Mus musculus: one gene and its partners. The protein of the gene in region 2 purifies or fractionates together with the protein of the main gene of each other region. This does not show direct contact. Links are inferred from orthologs where the notes say so. Each region holds a gene or a part of one and is shown on either strand. Other genes may lie near its edges. The genes, in order: Ppp1cb, Wdr82 and Setd1b.

The links.
Region 1: the proteins of Wdr82 (region 2) and Ppp1cb purify together in Homo sapiens (affinity purification with mass spectrometry; 5 studies listed by BioGRID and IntAct, with this or other methods). This does not show direct contact. The link is inferred for Mus musculus from reciprocal best matches to the Homo sapiens genes WDR82 and PPP1CB.
Region 3: the proteins of Wdr82 (region 2) and Setd1b purify together in Homo sapiens (affinity purification with western blotting; 4 studies listed by BioGRID, with this or other methods). This does not show direct contact. The link is inferred for Mus musculus from reciprocal best matches to the Homo sapiens genes WDR82 and SETD1B.

The regions. Positions count from the first base shown.
Region 1 is NC_000071.6:32,457,405-32,461,798, reverse strand, and holds the start of Ppp1cb (serine/threonine-protein phosphatase PP1-beta catalytic subunit), read right to left. Parts: upstream 2,830-4,394; 5' UTR 2,444-2,829; coding exon 2,392-2,443; intron 1-2,391. UniProt on the Homo sapiens protein: Protein phosphatase that associates with over 200 regulatory proteins to form highly specific holoenzymes which dephosphorylate hundreds of biological targets.
Region 2 is NC_000075.6:106,169,658-106,173,759, reverse strand, and holds the start of Wdr82 (WD repeat-containing protein 82), read right to left. Parts: upstream 2,832-4,102; 5' UTR 2,542-2,831; coding exon 2,381-2,541; intron 1-2,380. UniProt on the Homo sapiens protein: Regulatory component of the SET1/COMPASS complex implicated in the tethering of this complex to transcriptional start sites of active genes.
Region 3 is NC_000071.6:123,145,081-123,148,704, reverse strand, and holds part of Setd1b (histone-lysine N-methyltransferase SETD1B), read right to left. Parts: intron 2,156-3,624; coding exon 2,043-2,155; intron 1,159-2,042; coding exon 1-1,158. UniProt on the Homo sapiens protein: Histone methyltransferase that catalyzes methyl group transfer from S-adenosyl-L-methionine to the epsilon-amino group of 'Lys-4' of histone H3 (H3K4) via a non-processive mechanism.

The DNA of each region.
Region 1 (4,394 bases), on a different chromosome or scaffold from region 2:
GTAGTCTTGCTATGGATAGACGTCTTTAACTATAATTACATATCTTTTAATGTTCACTTTCATTTAGGACACACAAAATATATAACCTAGACATCTTTAACTATAATTATGTATCTTTTAATGTTCACTTTCATTTAGGACGCACAAAATATATAACCAGGTTATTCTGTTCTGCGAGGCAACTTTACAGAATAGCACCACTTGAATTTGAGTTAAATTAGCATGTAATACTGAAAACTAAAGTAGGCTGCCCGGCAGAGGTGGTGCATGTCTCTAATTCCCAGTATTTGGGGAGGCAGAGTTTGAGGCAGCCTGGTCTACAGAGCAAGTTCCAGGATAGCCAGGTACAGAGAAACCCTGTCTCAAAAAAAATTTTTTTTTCAAGATTGAATTTACTCACTAGAAAATCCAAGACTTCAAAATTTATTTGAACAGGTTTAGGCTTGGGGAGGGAAGGAGGGACTGGTAATATTTTAGAGTAACAACAAAAGCAGTCTTCGTCTGGATTAAGGAACAAGAATGTAACAAAACTACTAATAAATTGTACATTCAAAGCAGGAAGAGCAGGAAGGCTAGCACACACTGAGAAGCCACTTGTTTATACTGAGCTGCTTGAGTGAGGAGTGAGCCTTATCTTTGACTCCTGGTGCCTGGCAGTGCAGTCAATAAACACTTGCTATATTAGAAAAAAAGAACGTATTCTTACCCAAGAAGGGGGGACTGGTGGGTGCTGGTGACTGATGATAGAACCAAATATTTAACAATGATATAGCTCAGGCTACTTTCCCCTTTTTCTCTACAACTCCCACTCTATTAGTTGTATTTAAGCATCTGTAACTGTATAGAAGTACATTTGATTTAAAGGCTTCTAGATCGGTTTAAAATACATGCATCTGCTATAAGGTATTTATGAAAAATTAAAAATATTAATAAACTGCGATAAAATCTGATCCAAATTTAATTTAAAATTTAGATTATATGAAAACAGTGGTGGGCTTAAATTCCCCTTCTCCGAAGAGTAACAAGATATAAAGATTTAAAATAACTATATTTCCCTAATAGAGCCAGCCATGTACTACAAGCATAAATTTTTTTTAACTAAACAAATTTCTCACAGACCCAGCAAGATGTTTCTATCAATTAAAGACCACAAAATCCCAAGCAGTAAACACAGCAAGCACCAGGGGGCCTCCCAGGAATAACTTGATACTAAAGGAGAAGGTAAATAAGAAAGAGTTCCTGGTAAAAGTTCTGCCTTTTTCTCAGCCTTAAGGCTGCTGGAAAGCTTTTACATCTGGAGCATATAAACAGAGTTGTTTTGTTGTTGTTGTTGTTTTAAACAGAGAATAAATACTTCGTACTTTAACTAGTTAAAGAAAAGTCACCCCTCTCCACGCTCTTTGGTAAAATTCCAAACACAAACAGCTTCGCTGTAGTAAACACACGCATTCATTAGGAGGCTGACAAAAAGGACTCTTAACCACTCAAAAACGCAATTCTTTTTTACACACTCCACAATTAGTGACGACGCAAATTTTATAGCGTAAAAGGGTTCTTTTGACCAAGACCCGCCTTTAACTTCGAACAGTATCCCCCAACGGACCAATACATTTAACTACTGGCCTCTCCATCTCCTCTTTTCTCCTTATGTTCCCACCAACACAAAACTAATCGATAAAAGCATAAGAACCCGGAACTTCAAATGCTGAGAACACTTGTAAAATACCTTTTAAGCTCAAGAGATTATTCACAACAGACATTTGCTAAGTTTGTGCAGAAATTAAACTCGGCTCAAACATGTTTAAAAAAAAAAAAAAGCCCCCAAATCAACCCCTTCAGCACATGTATCCGGGCGTTTCGTATTTCTAACGGACGTCTTTAACCTGATTCAGGATTTTTACTGTTTTTTTATACTCCAGATAATAAATGGTAAACTAGTCATCGTATCCTCTCCCTAATTCTTTCTAGAGCATCCAGTAAAATGCAAACGATCCGAGAGCCTTACTGGGAAGGTTTTATGTAAAATTCACTACCGGAACGACCATCGGAGGCTGCCAAGGGCAACGCACAAAGAGAACCGAGAAATACACATTCCACGGACACACAAAGCCCAGCGGCAGGCATCCTCGCCCCTTCTTCGGAACGGTCTGCAGAGGCCAGCACAGCGGCCAAGCGGAGCCCGGCCGCCTCTCGGGAAGACTGTACCAGCCGATGGGCCTCCGGCCTCGCTCGGCCCGGCCTCCCCGCCTGCCCGCCCGCCAGCCCGCGCTCCTGGCCTCCTGGGGCACCCGGCCCGCCCGCCCGCCCGCCCGCCTGCCCTCCTCTCCGACCTCAGCTCGAGCGGGAAGGGCCCCGCGGCCGGGTGGGGAGACGAGCCGGCGCCGCACTCACCCTCCAGCAGGCGGGTGATGAGGCTGTCCACGTTCAGCTCCCCGTCCGCCATCTTGTCGGCACCAGACTCTCCTCCCTAAAGCGTTAACAGGGCTTCTCGGCGGCGGCGGCGGCTCGGCGTTCTCACCTACGAGTCACGCGGCGTTTCGACCCCGGCTCCAACTCCCCCCGGGCGCGGGCCCTCCCCCCACCCCCTCCCCGCCGAGCAGCGACAGCGCGCGCACACGCTGGCGGCGCCCACTGGAAATAAATAAATAAACAAGCAGGCCCCCAGGAACCGGGCCGCGTCAGGAACCGGGCCGCGTCAGACCCCAGCCGCCACCGCCTCCTCCACCTCCTCCTCGGCACCGCCCAGCTCCGCAAAGCTCGGCAGCGCCACGGACAGCCCCGCCCTCAGCGTCACTCCCTCCCCTCCGCCCTTGCGGGCCGCCTAGCCGCGCCGAACTGCGCGCACGCGCGCCACGTCCCCTTCCTGCCTCTCCAGCTCCCCGCCCTCCCCTCCGCGGTTGCTAACGCGCAGGAGCGATTCCCTCTCTCAGGCGTTCCACTGCAACGAACAGTCGCCACTACGCAGGCGCAGGGCGGAGCCTGCCTTGCTTGTGAACGCAGAGCCGGCGTAGGCTGGAATGACCTTCCTTCCCTGCTCCCCAGGGCCTGGTGGTTCCGCAGAGTTAACTATTGCGTTCTTCCCGCCTTGCTTTTCTTTTCTAGGTTTCAGTCACTGGTTTTCAAAACAATTGCTCGTATTTCCGCTAACCCGGAAACGTGGGTTTCAGTTGCCTATGTTGGAAACCCAGGTGTGCTGGAGATAAGAGACTTCTCTGTTGAAAAAGATTGACATTGCAGATCAAGGGCTCTGTATCACATCACCAGAGTCGCTGATTCGCCAGGTGACCCTAGAAGAAACAGGATTCAAAGTGGGCCTCAGTCAACAGCAATAAGATTTTACACGCTCCCGACATCTCCATACACTCAGGATACCACTTTTCTATAGTTCTTTTCTGTTCATTGATTTCTTATATTGCTTAATTCTCTTATCTTGTGATTTTTAAACATTTCTCTACTGCACTCGGTTCCTAGAGGATAAAAATCACATTTACCGGGCATAAGAGACCTGTAATCCCTACAACTGGGAGATGGAGGCAGAAGATCCAGAAGCCCAAGGTCATCTTCAGCTACATAATAAATGCTTGCAGTTGGGATAAATTAAAAACAAATACAGGGACTGAAGAGATGATTCAGAGGTTAGGAGCACTGCCTGTTTTTTTGCAGAGGACATGGGTTCAATTCCCAGCACCCACATGGTTACAACTATCTATCTGTAATTTTGATTCTGATAAAAATAAAATAAAAAGAAAAGGACATGATTGCTTCTAGGTATGATGAAGAAAAAGGTTTATTAGAGATAAATGGGAGAACATAGTTGGGAGGAAAGACATCTGGGAATATTCAGAGCGAGCATGACTCTGAGGGGGAGGGAAAGAGAAGATTAGGGCAGGGAGTGTGCATGCCATACATACCCTGTAACAGGTAGGAATGGCTGAGAGAACCTGGGTCCAGTAACCACTTTCACATGTTAAATAAGTACCTCTGTCATTTGTCCCAGGTTTGAGACCTAACAGTTCCAGGGCATCTGATGCCCTCTCGGTCCTCTCTATGGGCACTATACATAGTACACAAACATACATGCAGACAAAGCACTCATATGCATAAAAATACTTTTTAAAAGTAAAGAAGGAAATAGAAAAAAAAAAAAGGAAACCAAGCATGGGAAAGATCAGATTAAACCAGGGGCTTTATTTCCAAAATGCACGCTGGAAGATTCTGTTAACTTGAAAAAGATGGGCTAAAAAGTTGACTCTCTGCTTTCTAGAAACTAAGAAACTGAAACACCAGTTACAAATGGAGGTAGATATTTTGATGCCATTTCTCCAAATCTATCTCTTCCATGACTTTAAGAATTCAGAATACTTGGGAATGCTTATGTAGATGTCTTATGTTTT
Region 2 (4,102 bases):
TTTTCTTCTACTGTTGGAATTATTGGATTATTCTTCTATACATATATATTTTTACATTTACTGATTTTATGTATATGAGCATTTTGTCTGCTTGCTTGTATATATGGGCACCCTATGCAGGTCTGATGCACATGGAATCCAGAAGAGAACATCAGATCCCCTGCAACTGGAGTTAAATGTAATTGTGAGCCTCCACGTGGGTGCTGCTGATTAACCTAGGTTCTCTGCAAAATTAACATGCGCTCTTAACCACATGTTAGCCATCTCTCTAGCTCCTGGACTTTTTTCCCCCCACAAACTTCTCTCTTTATGAAGACTTCTTTATGTTATTTATAGGAGTACCCTTGTAGCTGACTTCAGACACACCAGAAGAGGGCATTGGATCCCATTATAGATGGTTGTGAGCCACCATGTGGTTGCTGGGAATTGAACTCAGGACCTGTGGAAGAGGTGCTCTTAACAGCTGAGCCATCTCTCAAGAAATCAGAATTAGGGGTCAAATCCCCTGGAACTAGTTACAGATGGTTACAAGGTGTAGGAGTCCACTTGTTCCTCTCTAAGAGCAAGTGCCTGTAGCCATCTCCAGCCCTTACATTTCCTTTTTGGGACAGCTGTTCAAGCTGCCTTGGATTCGCACCCCCAGCTCCCAAGCGCTGAAATTATAGGCACTGCTGGACACGTTCTTTTTTCAAGAAAGTTCTTTGGAGCATTGTAACTTTCTGTAAGTTTGTAATCATGTAAAAAGGTTACATGCCTGAATAAACATTTTTTTCAGTCTTAGTGTTTTATTCCTTTGAATAGGATATGCATTTCCATTACAGATTTGGGGGGGAGATTCTAAGCTATGTATTGCACCAAACATGTCAGACAAACCAATTTCAAATTACTTGTAGTTCCAAACAGAATCAAATAGTCAGACCAGTGTATGATAATAATCAATACACAAATATGAACATCAATTCAAATAACTATTTGTCCAGTTAGTAATTTTCTCTTCCCCAGGATCACCACTGTAGGAAACTCTCCCACATACAGCAAGCTCAAGTCCAACGACAGTTACGTAATACTTTGTTGGAGCTCCAGCGAGGAAACCCATCAAGGACAATATCATATACAGCTCATTCTACAATAGCTTTACTTTAGATAAACTCAGAGACAAGTTCCAAAAGAAAACTATTATTTGAAAAAAATAATAAACAAAGAGAACAGCTGCAAAAAGGAGAGAAAAAGCCAAGGATTCAAAAACAGGTAACTTTAACATAATGTCGAAAACAGTAGCTATTAAACTAAACACCTCCTGCTTAGGAAGGAAGCTGAAGTTGACAAAGGGAATCAAATTTAGCCTAAACTAGTTTCTGCTACAAAAGAGGTCACTGCTTACTTATCGAGGATTTGAACTTCCAGAGATGAGACAGGCAATGTCTTCCTCACACCCAGGCTATGAAAACGGCAAAGATACACAAGTTCTCCAACTAACATAATTTCCATAACCAGTTCCAGAATTCCAAAACTTTGATAACTATAAGCAAACCACAATCTGGCGGTTATTGTTTTTTGTTTTTTAACTGTTTTGAGTCAGGGTCTCTCTGCTATGAAGTCCAGAACTCAGGGTCTGACTGCCTCTATCGCCCAAATGCTGAGATTACTGGCTAAGCGGCCAAACTTGGGTTTTTTTTGTAATGCAAAAGGAAACACTAAATTGTTCCGGAATGCTTTCTTTGTTTTAAAGAGAGCTCACATTCTGACCAGAATGGGGCGGCCAAGTTCTCAGGAGTCTGGCAAAGAAAAGTTTCCAAGAGTCTGTTTAGTAAGTTAACTGTAAGCCTGGGTATTGGTACTGGGAAAGGACAGCAAGCTCACATGGGCACAATCGATAAATCCTGACAGCTTAAAAACTGCATCCCGCGGGGCTTGATTGCAGAAAAGCCGCGCGGGAAGCTGAGGGGTAGGGGGCGGGCACCGTGCCAGGGCTGAATCCAGGTCACTGCTGTGAAGGCAGAGAGCTGGACGCCACTGATGGACAGAACACAGCTCCTGCCGTTCTGCATCGAGCTCAGAGTCCACCCGCACATTCTGACAGTCGCCAGGGGAGTGGAAAGGGCTATCCGTCCGGCTGCAGGGTGCAGGGACATGGCGTTTAAAGGTCAAGGTCAAGGTGGGGTTTGGCAAGCGGGAAAAGCGCGCTCGGAAGAGAGCAAAGACACATGAACTAAGAACCATCATCATCTTAAAGAGGATCTCCTGCAGCACTGCGGGATGGAGGTGGCCCTGGCAAGAGCGCCTGCACCACATGCCTGGGGTTGGGGGTGGGGGCTCAGTCGGGGACCAGCGACAGAGGGAAGGAGAGGGGCACTTGGAACTCGGCCACTATCACACTCACTTGCCCTCCTGGCAGTCATAGAGCACGATGGAGTCATCATCGCTGCTAGAGATGACCGTCTCGCCATTGGGACTAAAGTCAAAGCAGTTGATCTTGTCTGAGTTCTCGCGGAACACCTTGGCGACGCGGAAGCTCCGGAGCACGCTGTCGGTCAGCTTCATGGCGGCGGCGGCTGCTGCTGCTGAAGGCAGCGGCGGCGCAGGGCCGGGGCGGGGCCGAGAGGCGAGCGATCGGGCGGGCTGCTCAGGGCCAACCCCGGCGGTGCGGGCGCCGCGCTGGAGACGAACCGAAGGACGGCTGACAGTGGGGCTGCCGCGTCCTCTTCCTCAGGCGACGCTCTCTCGCCCGGACGACGGGACCTCGCTGACCGTTCTTCTCCGGAGTCAATTCAGGGCCAACCGGCGCTCCGCCGGCTCATTGTGTCCGCCATCTTGAAGGGAGAAGCAAAATCAGAGGGCGAGGAGCTTGTGTCGCGGCGGACGCCGGGAAAGGGGGCGGGGAGGGAACGGAGGCGCGAGCTGGGGGAGGGGGGGCGGGACGATGACGTCAGCGGGGCGGCCTCCCGTTGCTGAGGCCCCGGAGCTGGAGCCCGCGGTTCTGGGGTGTGAACCTGCGGGCGTGGAGCATCTAAACCCTCTCTCTCGAGGGCAGGACTTGAGGTCGCCTCGGGGCTAGTGCCTTTGTGGGTGCTCTCAAGCCCCGGGGAGACGCTGGTGTCTCTGAGGCCGCAGGACCTGGCGGAGAGGCCTGCTCGTGTGTGGGTGTGAATCAGGTGAACCCATCACCGACTGACTTAACCACTGCACGGCCGAGCCAGGAGGCTTCGATTTGTTAGTTGAGTGATGTACAACATACACTTGCACGAAGTTTTAAGTGGCATTTTCAACTGGGTTTATATTAAACTTCAGAAGCTTGGAACTTCTTTTAAAATTTAATGAGAGTCGAAGCGCATGAAGATCCCTAACTTCTAGTGCGGGAGGAGGGGGAACCTTAGGAAGGGACATTTCACTCACTGGCAGGTGATTGCAAAGGCATGACAACCAGAGTCCCTTATAACCTGGGTTGACAAACGACGAAATGGAACACGAGAAAAAAATGGAGCCTTCTTGAAAAATGTGCGGGGGGGTTGCATCTCAGGTTCTTAGGTTAAAGAAAAAAGGTAGCTAGATAGAACTGGAAGTGGTTGGCTGAGGGAAAACGACAAGATTGTAAGTTTGTACTGCAGTTGTCTCCTGACAAAGGGCAGAGTTCCTGGCTACAATCTGTTCCGGGGTGTGAGGAAGGGAAGGAACCAGTTTGAGTGAAACCTGAATGGATGGCAACTTTCCAAATTGCAAATCTGTTCTAGAAAAACCTTCCACAGGTGGTTGCACTCAATCCCCAGTGATTGCCTTTGAGTTTAGGTGATCCAGGTGATCCAGGCTGCTATGGAGCTTGAGATAGCAAGGACAGATCTGGTGCCATGTGCCCGACTTGCTGTGGGAACTGAAGTTTTCTGAAGAGCATCTACAATAAAGATCCTGCAGACTGGCTGACTACAACATCGCAATTGTGGAGACATCAAATGTAGGCAAAGGATCTGGAACTATTTTAGGCCTCTTTAAAAACTAGTGTGTGTGTGTGTCTGTGAGTGCGTGCACACATGCTTTTACCTTCTGAGCCTTCTAAGGTGGCCTTGCTTTAGACTTTAAATAGCCATTTACTCTAACTTCCAACATTCTC
Region 3 (3,624 bases), on a different chromosome or scaffold from region 2:
CACCTCGGCTGTCTGGCCTAGCAGACCCATAGGGTCTGGGGGGCCTGGCTCAGGTGGGGGCCGAGGCCCCAGGCCCAGGCCCAAGTCCTCATCTTCATCAGAGTCAGGCAGTGGTGTGGGACTGATGTCCTCTAGACCTGTGCTGGAGGGGCGCGAGGAGGGTGGCGAGGGACCGCGGAAGCCGGGCTGCGAGTTAGTGCCAAAGTGGCTGAGCGGGGAGAGTTGGGAGGAGGAGGAGGAGATGGGGCTGCCTTCCATCTGTATCTCGGTGTCTGAGTCCTGCTCACGAAGGAAGGGCAGCTTGGTGCGTTGCTCCTTCAGCAGCATCTCAATGCGGGAGTCCAGGCTGTCATGGGGCTTCTCTGGCCCGGCTGGAGAGGACTCCAGAGTAGGGGTGCCAGGGCTGTCACAGGGCTCAGGACTCCAGCCAAAGGTAGGCCGACCACCCAGCTCCATGCTGTTGCTGTCAGGGGGCGGGGGACCAGGAGGGGTGCCTGGCTTCTCCTTGGCTGGAGGCTCAGCGGGTGGCAGGGGCGGGGGCGCAGGTGCCCTCCGGAACTCCCCACTGTCGCGGCTCCCAAAGGCTGCTGTGGCGGTGGGCTCCTCAGGGGGTGGCGGGAAGGGGGGTGCTGGAGTCTGATATGGAGAGAAAGCTGATTTGAATCCAGAAGCCGTGGCTGTTTGGGCAGGAGGTGGAGTATGGGCAAACGTGGTGGCATCCTGCGACTGAGCCTTGAAGGGAGTCCCGCTGCTGCCAACTGTCCCAAAAGAGAGGTCCGAGGAGCCTCGGAAAGGAGCTGTGGCTCCAGCCACCGCTGAGTTGTGGACATAATGATGTTCGTGGCGGCGGTTGTAGGCATCTGTGAACTTGCTCTCGTGCCGCCTCGCCTTGAATGTGGCTGTGGGGTCCTGGCTGAAGAGATAGGAGGGTGTGGGCTGACGGCTGGAGTAGCTGGAATCCTGGGAGAAAGGGGTGCCCAGGCGAGGCGTGATTGGGGTGCCTTGTCCATAGGAGTTGGGTGTGTCCAGGCGGCAGCTGGAGTAAGCTGTGTCTTGGGAGAAGGGGGTCCCACCGCTATTGGGGGTGACTGACGAGGAGCCAGAGCCGCAGCCTGCAGACAGGCTGCCATCTTTGAGGCGCTTCAGAGCATCTGATAGCTGGAGAGAGAAGAGATCATGGGTGTTGTGGGTGTGGAGGGAGGACCGAGCTGAACCAGGCAATTGAGCTGCTTCCCGCTAAAACTTTGGCTGCTAGGGAGTGTGGAGCCCATGACCTCCCATCACAAGGAAAGAACTGGAGTGCCTGGAAGTGCGCAGGGGTTTTTTTGTTTCTTTTTGTTGTTGTTGTTTTTCCCTATCCCTAAGTATAGATGTTTACCCTCTGCACACATAGAGGATTGTCCCTAATACTGGCAGCACAAAGAGAAGACCCTGATGTTTTGGTATAGGCTGCTATTTCCTTCCCAAGCCTCAGGCCATCTGACATTAAAGGGTGTGACACAGAGATGTGACCAATGACTGTGGTCTTGGGTTTGATGGACTGTCCTTACAAATTCTAGATATTTAAAAGGTGTGACAGCCCCTCCCCCATGCCTCCTGATCAGCAGGCAAACAGACTTCAGTCCTCTGGGAGGGGGGGACACCTCAGTTCATACTGTGGCTGAATGGAATCAGCTAGGTGAGTGTCCTGGTATACCGTGGGTGGAGGAGCCAGTCTGTTCTGGAAGAGGATCTGAACTCTGCTTTCTGGAAATACGTACAGAGGGTGCCCGGATACCAGACACTAAGACCCAAACGTAGCGATGTTTTGACATTCATATAGAAAAACAGCCTGCATCTGTGGGAATCCCAGTATGGGTGGAGGGTGGGTGGAACCAGAGGAGGGACTCAGGGATGCTGGGCCAATCCCAGCGGAGAACTGGTGCAGCAGATCTTGGGAAAACAGGGTTTTTAGATCAGCTGGGAACCAACAGCAGGTGTGGTCAGGTCTCTAAAGCCAAGAGGTGCTGAAGCGGAGGGAGCAGCTGCAGGGAAGAACCTACCTGCAGGGTCTCGCTCACAATCGGAGAAATAGCATCCAGCTCACCAACAGGGAGGGTCTGAGGGGTGTACCGGCCGGTGACCAACAGCTCGTAGAAGCGCATGCGAGTTTCCCCTGTAACAGGCAAGGGACAAGGGTATCCATGGAAGCTCCACCAGGACACATCCCCATGGGGATTCCAACTCACTTATTAGCACGGTCAGGGATCCCTTGTGCCTGCGACCACAGGCCCGGGGATCCTGTGTGTCCCCTGATTAGGTCTCTACCCTTTCTCACCTCATTCCAGATTCTCATCTGTCCAACCAGGCTGCAAAACTCTGATCTTTCTGATCCTGAGATTCTAAGGTTAATGCCTTTGTGGGACAGAGCTTCTCCCCCCACTGCACCCCCCCCAAAAAAAACCCCAAAACCCCCAAATGCCATCCTAAATGGAAAGTTCTTTCCATTCCTTAGACTATAGTTCCCCCCCAAAAGGAGCTATTACCACCCCATCCCCCACATTCTTTCACCACAGAATAGTCACGGCTTGTAACAAGGGCAGAGGAAGTCTGGGGACAGAGGTGACTTAACTATCTGGGGCCAAAAGACAATCTAAGCCTGTCAAACACATACATACTACTGTGAGCCAATCGCAGGCTGCTCTCCACCAGCTTAAGCCCCAGGAGTACCCAGAGTCTGCCCGGGGACTACCTGGAGCCCTCTGCCTACCTCTCTACCCACCAGAGAGAGATTTTGATCAACCAGGCCCCGATTATTGGTATTTAGAGCCTTAGAGGCAGCTGCTTACATATGCAAAGGAGGTGAGCCACACTTTACTGGACTCTTTCTTGAAATACAATTACAAATCTCAAAATAAGTGGTAGTATCTGAGGATTGTGTCTTTTCCTTTCTTTTCTTTCCCTCTCCACCCCTCCAGGTCCCCCAGAAATGAAATTGTAGTGAGGCTTAGCTGCTGCTTAAGATGTGGGCAGGTGATGGGAGAGGGGGACTGCAGGCTTCAGTCATGGGGGAAATTGAACTTCAGCTTAATGTGAGGCTAGGTAGTAGATTTAATAGTCTGTTCACACACACACACACACACACACACACAAGTGCATGGCGACAGGGGTGGGGTTGGGGGTCATTTACTAGGGCTCGAGGAACTGGGAAATGAGAAGGAAAGCTGTCGACTGGACAGAAATGACTAGGCTTTGCAAGCGGGGGTTGGGGGGTAACCAAATCCACTCAAAATTGCCAAATCCACTCAAAATTACCACAAACCACAACCCTTTGCGACAACACCCAGCGCGGTCTTAGGTCTTAGAGACTGCATGTCGCCATCATTAAAAGCAAAACAAAGTTAAGTTTTTCTGTCTTGCCTTTGGTGTGTGCTCAGAAACTCAAAAAGAAAAATCCCTGGTGTTCACCCCTGGAGTCCTCCCAGGCAGGGTTCAACAGTGCCACGCCCCTCCTCCAACCCCCGGACTTGACATTAGGATCACGGGACCACCTGGTCCCAAAGCCCCCTGCACTTGCCCGCAGACTGGCAGGGATGTCTTAGAAAGGACGCAGGTAAACTTAGGGGGGATGCCCTCTGTGTCTTG